Canis lupus familiaris: one gene and its partner. Each later gene encodes a partner of the first gene's protein in a complex. Links are inferred from orthologs where the notes say so. Each region holds a gene or a part of one and is shown on either strand. Other genes may lie near its edges.

The links. The genes of interacting proteins can lie anywhere in the genome.
Region 2: CRCP (region 1) and POLR3K share a complex: the UniProt entries of both Homo sapiens proteins name them as parts of the RNA polymerase III complex. The link is inferred for Canis lupus familiaris from reciprocal best matches to the Homo sapiens genes CRCP and POLR3K.

What each region holds. Positions count from the first base shown.
Region 1 is NC_049227.1:729,597-734,597, reverse strand, and holds part of CRCP (DNA-directed RNA polymerase III subunit RPC9), read right to left. Parts: intron 4,313-5,001; coding exon 4,276-4,312; intron 3,136-4,275; coding exon 2,995-3,135; intron 857-2,994; coding exon 762-856; intron 1-761. UniProt on the Homo sapiens protein: DNA-dependent RNA polymerase catalyzes the transcription of DNA into RNA using the four ribonucleoside triphosphates as substrates.
Region 2 is NC_049227.1:40,885,692-40,891,438, reverse strand, and holds POLR3K (DNA-directed RNA polymerase III subunit RPC10), read right to left. Parts: upstream 3,727-5,747; 5' UTR 3,678-3,726; coding exon 3,567-3,677; intron 2,821-3,566; coding exon 2,733-2,820; intron 1,279-2,732; coding exon 1,151-1,278; 3' UTR 713-1,150; downstream 1-712. Other genes in the region: SNRNP25 (U11/U12 small nuclear ribonucleoprotein 25 kDa protein), read left to right, coding at 4,043-4,084, 4,757-4,847, 5,087-5,192, 5,727-5,747. UniProt on the Homo sapiens protein: Core component of RNA polymerase III (Pol III) which synthesizes small non-coding RNAs using the four ribonucleoside triphosphates as substrates. Can mediate Pol I proofreading of the nascent RNA transcript.

The DNA of each region.
Region 1 (5,001 bases):
TCTGTTTCTGGCTCTAGGAGGATCCTCATGTCTGAGTCTCAGTTCTCTTGTCCACGATACCATGATCCTACTTTAAAAGAGCACTGTGTGTCAATTATAATTCAAAATTCAACTAAATAGAAACATAGCACTCCTGAGGATGGTTTTCATATAGTGTCATTTTCATTATGTGTCACATATTTTTCTGACTAAAAATAATTTTTACTACAGTGATTTAAAGGGGCACATTCATCCCCGTTTATAGCAGTCCATGATAGCCAAAATATGGAAAGAGCCCAGATGTCCACTGACAGATGAATGGATAAAGATCTGTGTACACACACACACACACATACAGGAGTATTACACAGCCATCAAAAGGAATGAAATCTTGCCATGTGCAACGACATGGATGGAACTAGAGGGTATTATGCTAATGCTAAGTGACATAAATCATATGATTTCACTCTTGTGTGGAATTTAAGAAACAAAACAGATGAACATAAGGGCAAGGGAAGGAAAAATAAAGATAAAAACAGAGGGGGAAGCAGATGGTAACAGACTCTTAACTCTAGAAAACAAATGGAGAGTGATTGGAGGGAAGGTGGGTAGGGAGATGGGGTGACTGGGTGATGGGCATTAAGGAGAGCACATGATGTAATGAGCACTGGGTATTATATGCAACTGATGAATCACTGAATTCTGCCCCTGAAACTAATAATACACTGTACATTAACTACACTGAATTTAAATTAAAAATTAAAAAAATAATTTTTACTTACTTGGTCAACTTGTGGCTTTTCATTGCTGTGAGAAATTCTCTGACAATCTCAGGAGTCTGGTGCCTGCATGGTGTTTTTGATATATATTTTAATGTCTACCCCCCCCAAAAAAAAGAAAAAACAAGCATAAGATAAACAAAACTTGAATGAGAAAAAGGGAAGACAATGGCTATAACTTAGTATTCTAAAATTTTTTTTTTTTTTTTTTTTTTTTTTTTTAGTATTCTAAAATTTTATTTCAAAATCTATAAAGGGGTGTCTGGGTGGCTCAGTCAGTTGAGCATCTGACTCTTGATTCCAGCTCAGGCCATGATCTCAGGGTCATGGAACTGAGCCCCACATCAGGCTCTCTGCATGGAGCCTGTTTCTCCCTCTGCCTATATCCCTGCCTCTCTCTCTCTGTCTCTCATGAATAATAAATAAAATCTTAAAAAAAAAAAAAAAAAAAGCAAGCTTTTCTGATCTTTTTTTCTTTTTTTTTAAAGTTTTTATTTATTTATGATAGTCTCACACACACACACACACACACACACACACAGAGAGAGAGAGAGAGAGAGAGAGGCAGAGACATAGGCAGAGGGAGAAGCAGGCTCCATGCACCGGGAGCCCGACATGGGATCCGATCCCGGGTCTCCAGGATCGCGCCCTGGGCCAAAGGCAGGCGCTAAACCGCTGCGCCACCCAGGGATCCCAAGCTTTTCTGATCTTAAAAAAAACACTCAAGCTGACAATTGTGTTATATTTCAGACAATTTTTTAAAAGACAGGGAACCCAAAGAATAGTCACAAGTCCATATGGATATAAGTAAATAAATAAAAGGATGAGAAGGATCAAGTGTTTTCTTACAGAAGAATGTGGAAGGAATGAGGGAAATCAATCAATCTTAGGCAACTGAACCACAGTAATAATTACTGCAGGAAAGACATACTAATGAGTACTAAAATTAATGGGCAAAAGCTTTAAGTAGAATATATTATGCATAGCCTCAAAGCATCTTCCCCAAAATATCTATTAATTACTGTGATGGACTGATTGATTGATTCTTGGGTGATGGTTTTAATATATGTCCTCAGGGGTACCCGGGTGGCTCAGTGTGGTTGAATGTCTGCCTTTGGCACAGGTCGTGATCCTGGGGTCTTGGGATTGAGTTCTACATCAGGCTCCCTGCAGGGAGCTTGCTTCTTTTTTTTTTATTTTTATTTTTTATTTTTTTATTTATTATTTATGATAGTCACACACAGAGAGAGAGAGAGAGAGAGAGAGAGAGAGAGGCAGAGACACAGGCAGAGGGAGAAGCAGGCTCCATGCACCGGGAGCCCGACGTGGGATTCGATCCCGGGTCTCCAGGATCGCGCCCTGGGCCAAAGGCAGGCGCCAAACCGCTGGCGCCACCCAGGGATCCCAGGGAGCTTGCTTCTCCCTCTGCCTTTGTCTCTGCCTCTCTCATGAATAAATAAAATTTTTTTAAAAAGTCCTCAGATTTTTTGATATCCTTCCTTCAGGAGATGAAGGAGTCCTTTGAATGGACTGGACTTGACAATTCCTTTCTAACTAATACAAAGTGGAAGTGGAAAACCAGTAACTTTACAGCAGAGAGGCCAGATACCACCTTAAGCAAGTAATCAGAGTGAACAGCATCAGTAAGACACTGATATCATATACCCTGTACTACACAATGACAAGGATACATCCTTTCTGTAGCATTCCTTCCCAAAAGCCTAACTTCAGTCTGGTCATGAGAAAACATTAAAACAAAACAAAACAAAACAACCAAAACTGAGGGACATTCTACAAAATACTTGACTATTACTCTTCAGAAGTGTCAAGGTAATGCATGGAAGATGAGAAAAGCCTAAAGACCTGCTAGAGATAAGAGGATATTAAGGAGCCAGCCATGGTAACTGAATAAAACACCCTGTACCCTTGAACAGAAAAAGGGCATAGAAACTGAGAAAATCTGAATAAACTCTTTCTGTAATTGCTTAGTTTTGATAATTGTGCCATGTTTATGGGAGACGGTAACATCAGGGAAAACTAAGAGAAGGGGAAAGTGTTAGAATTCAGGGCAGTCTTTTGACTATTCCTTCTAACTTTAACATTAGCTAACCCTCACCATTGGATAAACTCCCTCCACTTGTATAAACAGAATAAAAACTGGGTTACAGTAAAACCACTCAAATCAAGTAAGAGGTAGTCATGATTTGGTGGCTAGTCATCTGCAGAATAAGCCAACCTCAGTGGTAGTTGGGTAGCCTCTCCAGTAGCATAGGCTTACTTCATAGGTGATAGTATTCAAGTTCTGTTGCCCAGAACTGTGTTTGTTCTTTCCACTTTCTTTCCTTTGCTCTTTCAGATCAGTCAGTAACTGGAACACCTAAGGAAGTAATAAAATATTTTTATGAATAAATTTGATAAATCTTTTTCAAGGTCAATGATTTTGAAGGATAACTAGTATAGTACCTCTTTTCTTTCACAAACCCTCTCCCTTACTCTTGCATTAGAGCAAATATTAGTCTGAGATGCAGCTGACATTTTAAAAATTCTTTTTATCTAAGTTGATAATCCAAATCCATTAGTTTACTGAAAATATTTCAAATGTTTCCTTATCAATATATCTCCCCTGATCTCAAACATATATTGAGGGTTTTTTTTAAAGATTTTATTTATTTATTCATGAGAGACACAGAGACATAGGCAGAGGGAGAAGCAGGCTCCCCATGGGGATCCCAATGCAGGACTTGATCCCAGGATGCCAAGATCACTCCCTGAGCCAAAGGCAGATGCTCAACCACTGAGCAACCCAGTCATTCCCATATATTGAGTATTTGAAAGTAAATCTTCCTAAAATATGATCATCTCAATAGAGGCAGACAGAATTTTCCAAAATTCAACACCCATTTATGATAAAAACTCTCAACAAACTGGGTTTAGAGGGAACATACCTCAATGTGTAAAGGCCATATATGATAAGTCCTCAGCTAACATCATACTGAACAGTGAAAAGCTGAAAGCTCTTCCATAAGATAAGAAACAAGAGGGACATCTGGTTGGCTCAGTGGTTGAGCATCTGCCTTTGGCTCGGGGAGTGATCCCCGTCCCAGGATCGAGTCCCATATCAAGTTCCCTGCGAGGAGCCGGCTTCTCCCTCTGTGTCTCTGTCTCTCTCTCATGAATAAATAAATAAATCTTAAAAAAATTTAAAAAAAAGAAAGAAACAGTTCCAAAACACATGTTTCTATCCCATGAAGGAATATCAAATGAAGATCTAAAATATCTAGGATTTGGGGAAGATTGCCTACTATAAACTAAAGTCTTCCCAGCTTTCCTGAATTACTATGTATAATTTACCAAGCTTATAATTCCAAAGTCCACCAGATGGTGTCATCTGTCCTATTTTAAAGTGGAAAATCCAATGAATTCAGTCATTTTAACTAAAATTAATTCAATAATCTTCAGAAGCAAAGGGCAAACTATCAGAGAGGAAAATCCAATAGTTTACTTCAAAGCTATTTACCTCATAGTTACTGAGCAGCGCAGAATTGGCATCCTTCCTGCAAAATAAAGGAAATATTCATCAGTCTGGGCTCCCATTCCTTTGTTGAAATTAAATATCTGTAAAATACTTCCCGTATCAAGATTCAGTAAACAAGGGACATCTGGGTGGCTCAGGGGTTAAGTGCCTGCCTTCGGCTCAGGTCATGATCCTGGAGTCCCAGAATTGAGTCCTACATTGGGCTCCCTGCATGGAGCCTGCTTCTCCCTCTGCCTAAGTCTCTGCCCCTCTCTGTGTCTCTCATGAATAAGTAAAATCTTAAAACAAAACAAAACACACAAAAAAAACAAGTTCAGGAATTTAGGGACTACAACCTAAAACTGAGAAATGTCCTAAGTCCTATTTGTTTAGCTGGCAACAGACAATTTCAGAGCAACCTTCCCTCTTCACAGCCATAGTATATCACACATTCATTACTAAGTAGGTGAACAAAATACTATATACTCATCCTTAGTCTAGATAGGCAGAAGTCAGGTCAGTCATCTGGGAGAAGTTACTTACAGGAAGAACATGGGGCAAAACCAGACGGTAAGGAAGGGGTGTCACTAAACAGCGAGGGTGCTAGAATTAACTGGAGAAACAGTGCAGTCTTATCCCACAGCCATGTCCTTGCCCCAGTACTATCTGCCTCCCATCAGTTATTAACATCTTGGGCAGGCAAGTCATCCTGCTAAATCACCAGAAATG
Region 2 (5,747 bases), about 40 Mb from region 1:
CTCTCTCTCATGAATAAATAAATAAGTTTTTTTTTTTTTTAAATGAAGGAAGCATAAATATAGTCTACCTAATAAATTTATTGCAATCCTAGGAAACAAGAACAGAATGATAAATTGAAAAGCATGTTATCAGTATTCTGTTACCAGGAGAGCCCTAAGCATGGCAGTTGTTTGATGTCTGCTTCTCAAAGCACTCAAAACAATGAGAAAGCGGTCTCTTGCTGCAGCAACACGAGTGGGAGGACCCAGCACTGGACTCGGGGTGGAACTCCACAGATCGCTTTAAGAAATAGCAAACTGGACACGGGGGAAATCGCCAGCTTCGATAAGGCCAAGCTAAAGAAAATGGAGACGCTGGAGAACACCCTGCCAACCAGAGACCATCGAGCAGTAGAAACGGAATAAAATTTCCTAAGCATCTAGAGGGTTCCCCACCCACAACATCTTCGAGACACCCGGGTCGTGATGTAGAGGAAGAGCCACCTGCGAGATGGCCACGAGTGACAAGCTGTGCTGTGAACCCAGGCACTCCACGCTGAAGGCTGCCAGCCTGCAGGTCTCTGAGGGCCGCCCCCCAGCCCCCACCCCGCCCCAGTCAGACTGCCAAACTCTGCAGTTTACCCTGGGATATTATAGCAAATTATTTGTATGATTAACGAAAATAAAATATACTTCTTGGCAAAAAATTAAAAAAAAATAAACACTAGAAAAGCAGTATTAGACTTTCCATTTTAATTAAATATTCAGAATAGATAGTGATAAGTTTACAATTAAGTTAAATACTTAGATACATCTAATGTCCTACATTATAACATTTTACTTTATTAGTTGTGCAATCAGAGTGCATATTTAAGAAGGATAATGGTGAAAAGATGTCAATTAGCCAATATACCTACAAGATCCACAAACAGGATATTAAAAAGAACACACTTACTTATGTATACCCTTCCCTGCACACACAATCCCCCTGGATATAAATGAGCTCATCCGCTGACTGCCAGATGGGCTGGTACCCTGACCAGCTCCCGTGAAAGGGTTAGCTTTTGGCCACATCAGCAGAGACAGTTCAGGACAAACAGTTCACACTCCTGGCTGTGAATCCACCCTAGGGAACAAGGTAGGCAGACAATGACACAGCTGGATCCTGGCCCTAGTCCCTCCAGCGGTGTCCACACTGAGCATTGCAGCACTTGTAGAAGGTGGTCATCGGCTCGTCTGCAGAGCGAGTCTGAAGCTGCATGAAATAGGCACGAGGATGTTCGCATTTAGGACATGACTCTGGCAACGAGAAAAACAAGTGACCCACATTATGCTCATGACCAAACACACCTGCTAGAAGTAGGTAGGTATTAACACACCAAATCCCTCCCCGACCCCAATCATCTGGCATCCCCTGCCTAGGGCACCTTGCGCCATGACTGAAAGGCTGTAATTAGTGGCATCATTCCCACTACACTCTCACACTGAGGGGACTTGTGACCCTGGAAAACACTCCTGCTCCCCTCCCTGAGTCCCATTTTTCTTCTCAAATCTGGTTGAAGACTAGCTGGAAATGTGACATGAAATGTGGCTTATGGCTACCATGTGCATGATGGGGTCCACTCTGGGCAGATTCTTCCAAGTGCATCTCCATCACCTAAGCCCTCTCAACTTCCTGGAGGAGCCCCCAGGGGATGACAAATCCACTTCCCATTAAATTTAGGGATCCATCTCGGCAGCAGTTCCTCAGGCCGTTCTTATGAAGACCTCACCATACAACCCACACCTTTGCCAAATACCTCAAGGCAAAGTGACTTCAGTTCGGGAAACTGACCCTATGCTTGATAATGCCTTCAAACACTCACAAACAGCACTTTGAACATTAGGTACCAAAATCATCTTCTTTTCTTTCCTGGCAAATTCTGCCAATGCTAATTTTACCATATCAGATTTAGATGTTCTTCTATGGGGGAGAAAAGATAATACTAAACAGGAGTTGGGTCTTCCTCCGCTCAACACAGATGTGTTTAGGGCTCTCTTCTTTCCTTCCCTGGTCACATCTACCTCTATCAGACAGGAAACAAGACTTGAAATAAACATGTGAATGCTCTCTGCCATCAGCTTTTAAAAATCTACACCAGGAAGAAAAATAAATAAATAAATAAATAAATAAATAAACAAACAAACAAACGAATGAATGAATAAATTAATTAATTAAAAATAAAAATCTACACCAGGGATCCCTGGGTGGCTCAGTGGTTGAGCATCTGCCTTCTGCTCAGGGTGTGACCCCGGGGGGTCCCAGGATCGAGTCCCACATCGGGCTCCTGTATGGGGCCTGCTTCTCCCTCTGCCTGTGTCTCTGTCTCTGCGTCTCTCATGAATACATAAATAAAATATTTTTTAGAGATAATTAATTTTAAAAAAGATCCACAACTGAACAAATGGACCATATACTCTTCCTTAGGCTCCGACTTTCATTACTGCCATCGGTTGCTCCCCGCACAGCCGCCACTTGAGGACCACGCTAGAGGCCAAGTGCTGCGGGGCTCCCTTCACGCTCTCACAACGGAGGGAGGCCACCAAGGTCATGCGATGTTAAGAGGCTGTGGCTTTGAGACTAACCCACACCTGTACGTCTCTGGGGTTTATGCCAATATTGCCTGTGTAAGAAATAAATCACTAAAGAAGAAAATACACACGCTATTTTTAGGAGCTTCCTTCCTCAAAGGCAGCGCGGCCTCAGCTCTCACCTGCGGTGGAGTCCACGTTCTCCCAGGCCGCCGCGCCGCCGAGCACATCGTCCACTTCTTTCAGCTTCGGGTACTTCCGGTTGGTGACCTGGCGAAAGGCGGCAGGTGTTCAGGCCGCGGGTAGGGGCGCGGTGCTGACCCGGCCGCCGACTGCCCTCCTCCCCGCGGGCTGCACGATCCTGGGCAGCCGCGTCTCTACACCCGCGGCGCAGGGCTCGGCCCGGGTCCAGGGGCTCCAGCGTCGGGCCGGCCCAAGAGGCGGATGCAGCCGGGACCCCCCACCCCACCCCGTCCACGCTCGGCCCGGGCCCTCCGCGCAGGCCCCCGGCTCCGTCCCGGGCGTCGCGGCGGCGGCCCCAACTCCCGCGGGCAGCTCGGGGCGGGCGGTGCGCCGCGGCTCCGTCCAGGGCCCGGGTTGGGGCCGCAGCACCGACCCCAGGCACGCAAGTCCCGTAGAGGCGTGTCCGCAGGTGACCCGAGTCCGCCAGAGCCACGCTGCTCGGCACGACCCAAACACGGCGAGGCTGCGGGCGGGGCGGGGAGGGCAGCGGGAGCACGTGCAAAGGCCCGGCGGCCGTGTCGGTGCGCGGCGCGGGCTGCTCCCCGGGGGCTGGCGGCGTCGGCCCGGACCCGCAGTCAGCCGCGCCAGCGCACAGGGCGGGCCTGATCCGGCCACGGCTCCGACGAGGCCGCCCGGGCCGCCGCCGGGGACGCCGCCACGGGAGCCGGGTGAGGCCAGGCCGCTCCCGATACGGCGGGGGGCGGGGGCGGGGCCGCTGGAGCACCCCGGCGGGGCGGGCGTCGGCTGCTGGGCGGGGGGCGGCGGGTGATCACCTTGCGCGTGATGTTGTGCACGTAGGGGCAGGTGTTGCAGGCGAAGCGGTGGCAGCGCTGTCCCTCCTCCACGATCAGCCCGTTCCCGCAGCCCGGACAGAAGAGCAGCATGGCTGCCCCGCGCGCTCCCGGCAGCCCCTGCGGCCGCGGGGCGCCGGCGTCGGGCCCGTCGCGAGCTCCCATTGGCCCGGGCCGCCGCCGCCCCAATGGCCGGGCCGGGTTGGCGCTCCCAGCAGCCCCTGCGGCAGGCCGCCTCGAGCCTCCCATCGGTCCCCGTGGCAGCCCCGCCCCTCGCGGCCGGAAGCGGCGGCGGCGCGGTCGGAGCGCGGGGCTGGGCGGGCGCCCTGGAGCCGGCGGAGGCCGAGGCCGAGGCGGAGGCGGCGGCGGCGCGGCCCGAGGCGCCCGAGGCCGAGGAGGATGAAGAGGAGGCGCTGCCGCACTCCGAGGCGGTGGACGTGTTCCAGGAGGGGCTCGCCATGGTGGTGCAGGACCCGCTGCTCTGCGACCTCCCGATCCAGGTGCGCGGCGGGACCTCGGTGCCTGACCTCCCCCTGTGGGCGCCAGAGGTGACGATGCGGCGGGCCTCGATTCTCCCGTGTCCTTTAAGGACCTCACTGACCCGAGCACGAGCGGGGGCAGCAGGGGACAGGGACAGGCGGACGGTCGTCCGGTCCCAAGGCGGACCCCGACGGCGCCCCGGGCGCCCCGGGCGCGGCTGCGCTGCAGGTGCAGGTTCTAAGGTCGTTTCCGTAGTTGAGGCTCAAGTGGGGAGAACGGCTCCACCCCGGGACTCCGCATCGAGATTCGCGCCCCGCCCGAGGACGTTCACTCCTGGGTTGGGCGCCCCGGTCACCCTCGCACACCGGCCTCCCCTCCCCCCCCCGCCCGGTGTCGCCCTGGATCCCGGACTGACCGCGCCTCCTCCTTCCCAGCCCCAGAGCCCAGATCTGGCGCTCACCCTCTCCTGTTTCAGCGCTCCTCTTTTCCTGAGCTTTAATGCACTTTGCACATTAAACACTTTTAAAATGTAGGTGCAACCGGGAAACCCTAGCATAGAAGTAAGAAATCTTGTCTCTCGTCTTTCGTAAGATACGGCACTGCTTTTCCGATGCTATCCGCTTGTCTTGTCTTGTGGTTTGGGATAGCAAAGGCAGCCAAGGCTCCCACCTCCACCATTGGTCTTTCTGCAGGTTACTTTGGAAGAAGTCAATTCCCAGATAGCACTAGAATATGGCCAAGCGATGACAGTCCGCGTGTGCAAGATGGATGGAGAGATAATGCGTAAGTGCTCGCCCTCTCCCTGCGGACCCTGCAGTCCAAGCTGTCACGCAGACAAGACGCTGCCATGGCTGCTCAGGGGAAACTCAAGAGCCATGTACGTCGAAGGGCATCGGGGCAACCACAAGCCTACCCCACCTGAATTTGAGCCTCCGTCCAAAACAGTCTGGACAGAGCTTCTGGTTCCTTTCCTGCCGTCCTAGGCTGTGGCTGTGGATCCTAACATGGCTCTTCTCCCGCAGCTGTGGTTGTGGTGCAGAACGCCACAGTCCTGGACCTGAAGAAGGCCATTCAGAGATACGTGCAGCTCAGGCAGGAGCGTGAAGGGGGCATTCAGCACATCAGCTGGTAAGTGGAGCCACTGTTGCATGTGTGCCACAGAGCACCGAGGAGTTCCCTGTCCTGAGCGTCCCGGCGCGGTGGGTGCCACGGTGCCTGGGAGTCCTGCCTCAGTTCTCTTTCATCTACATCACCTCACCCAGGCAACTGGGCTTCTTAAATGGGGGCACCTTGGAGCATTTCCAGCGTAAGTGGTCTCCTTGGTTACAGACGGTGCAGCTGCCAGCGGCCCTACCCCATCTTCCCCTGGGTGGTCTCCTCACTCCTGCAGCATGGGTCGTCTCTGTCTCCGTGCTGTAGCCTATTTCATTAGGAAGGTGTGTTTGGCCCCCAGCCACCCCACACGGCTCTTTCAGAGCGGTGCCTCTTTCGAGCTACCTCGGGCCTGGTGTGTACAGGGTACAGGACAAGCCAAGAAGAGGCTGCCTGCCCTGGGCCCCCCAGAGCTGAGCATCCCGAGCCCATCTCACACACAGCTGCTGCGTCCCAGCTGCCCAATCACCCTGCTTGTGGTTTACCCAGATCCTCATCTGGATTTTGCAGGTCCTATGTGTGGAGGACCTA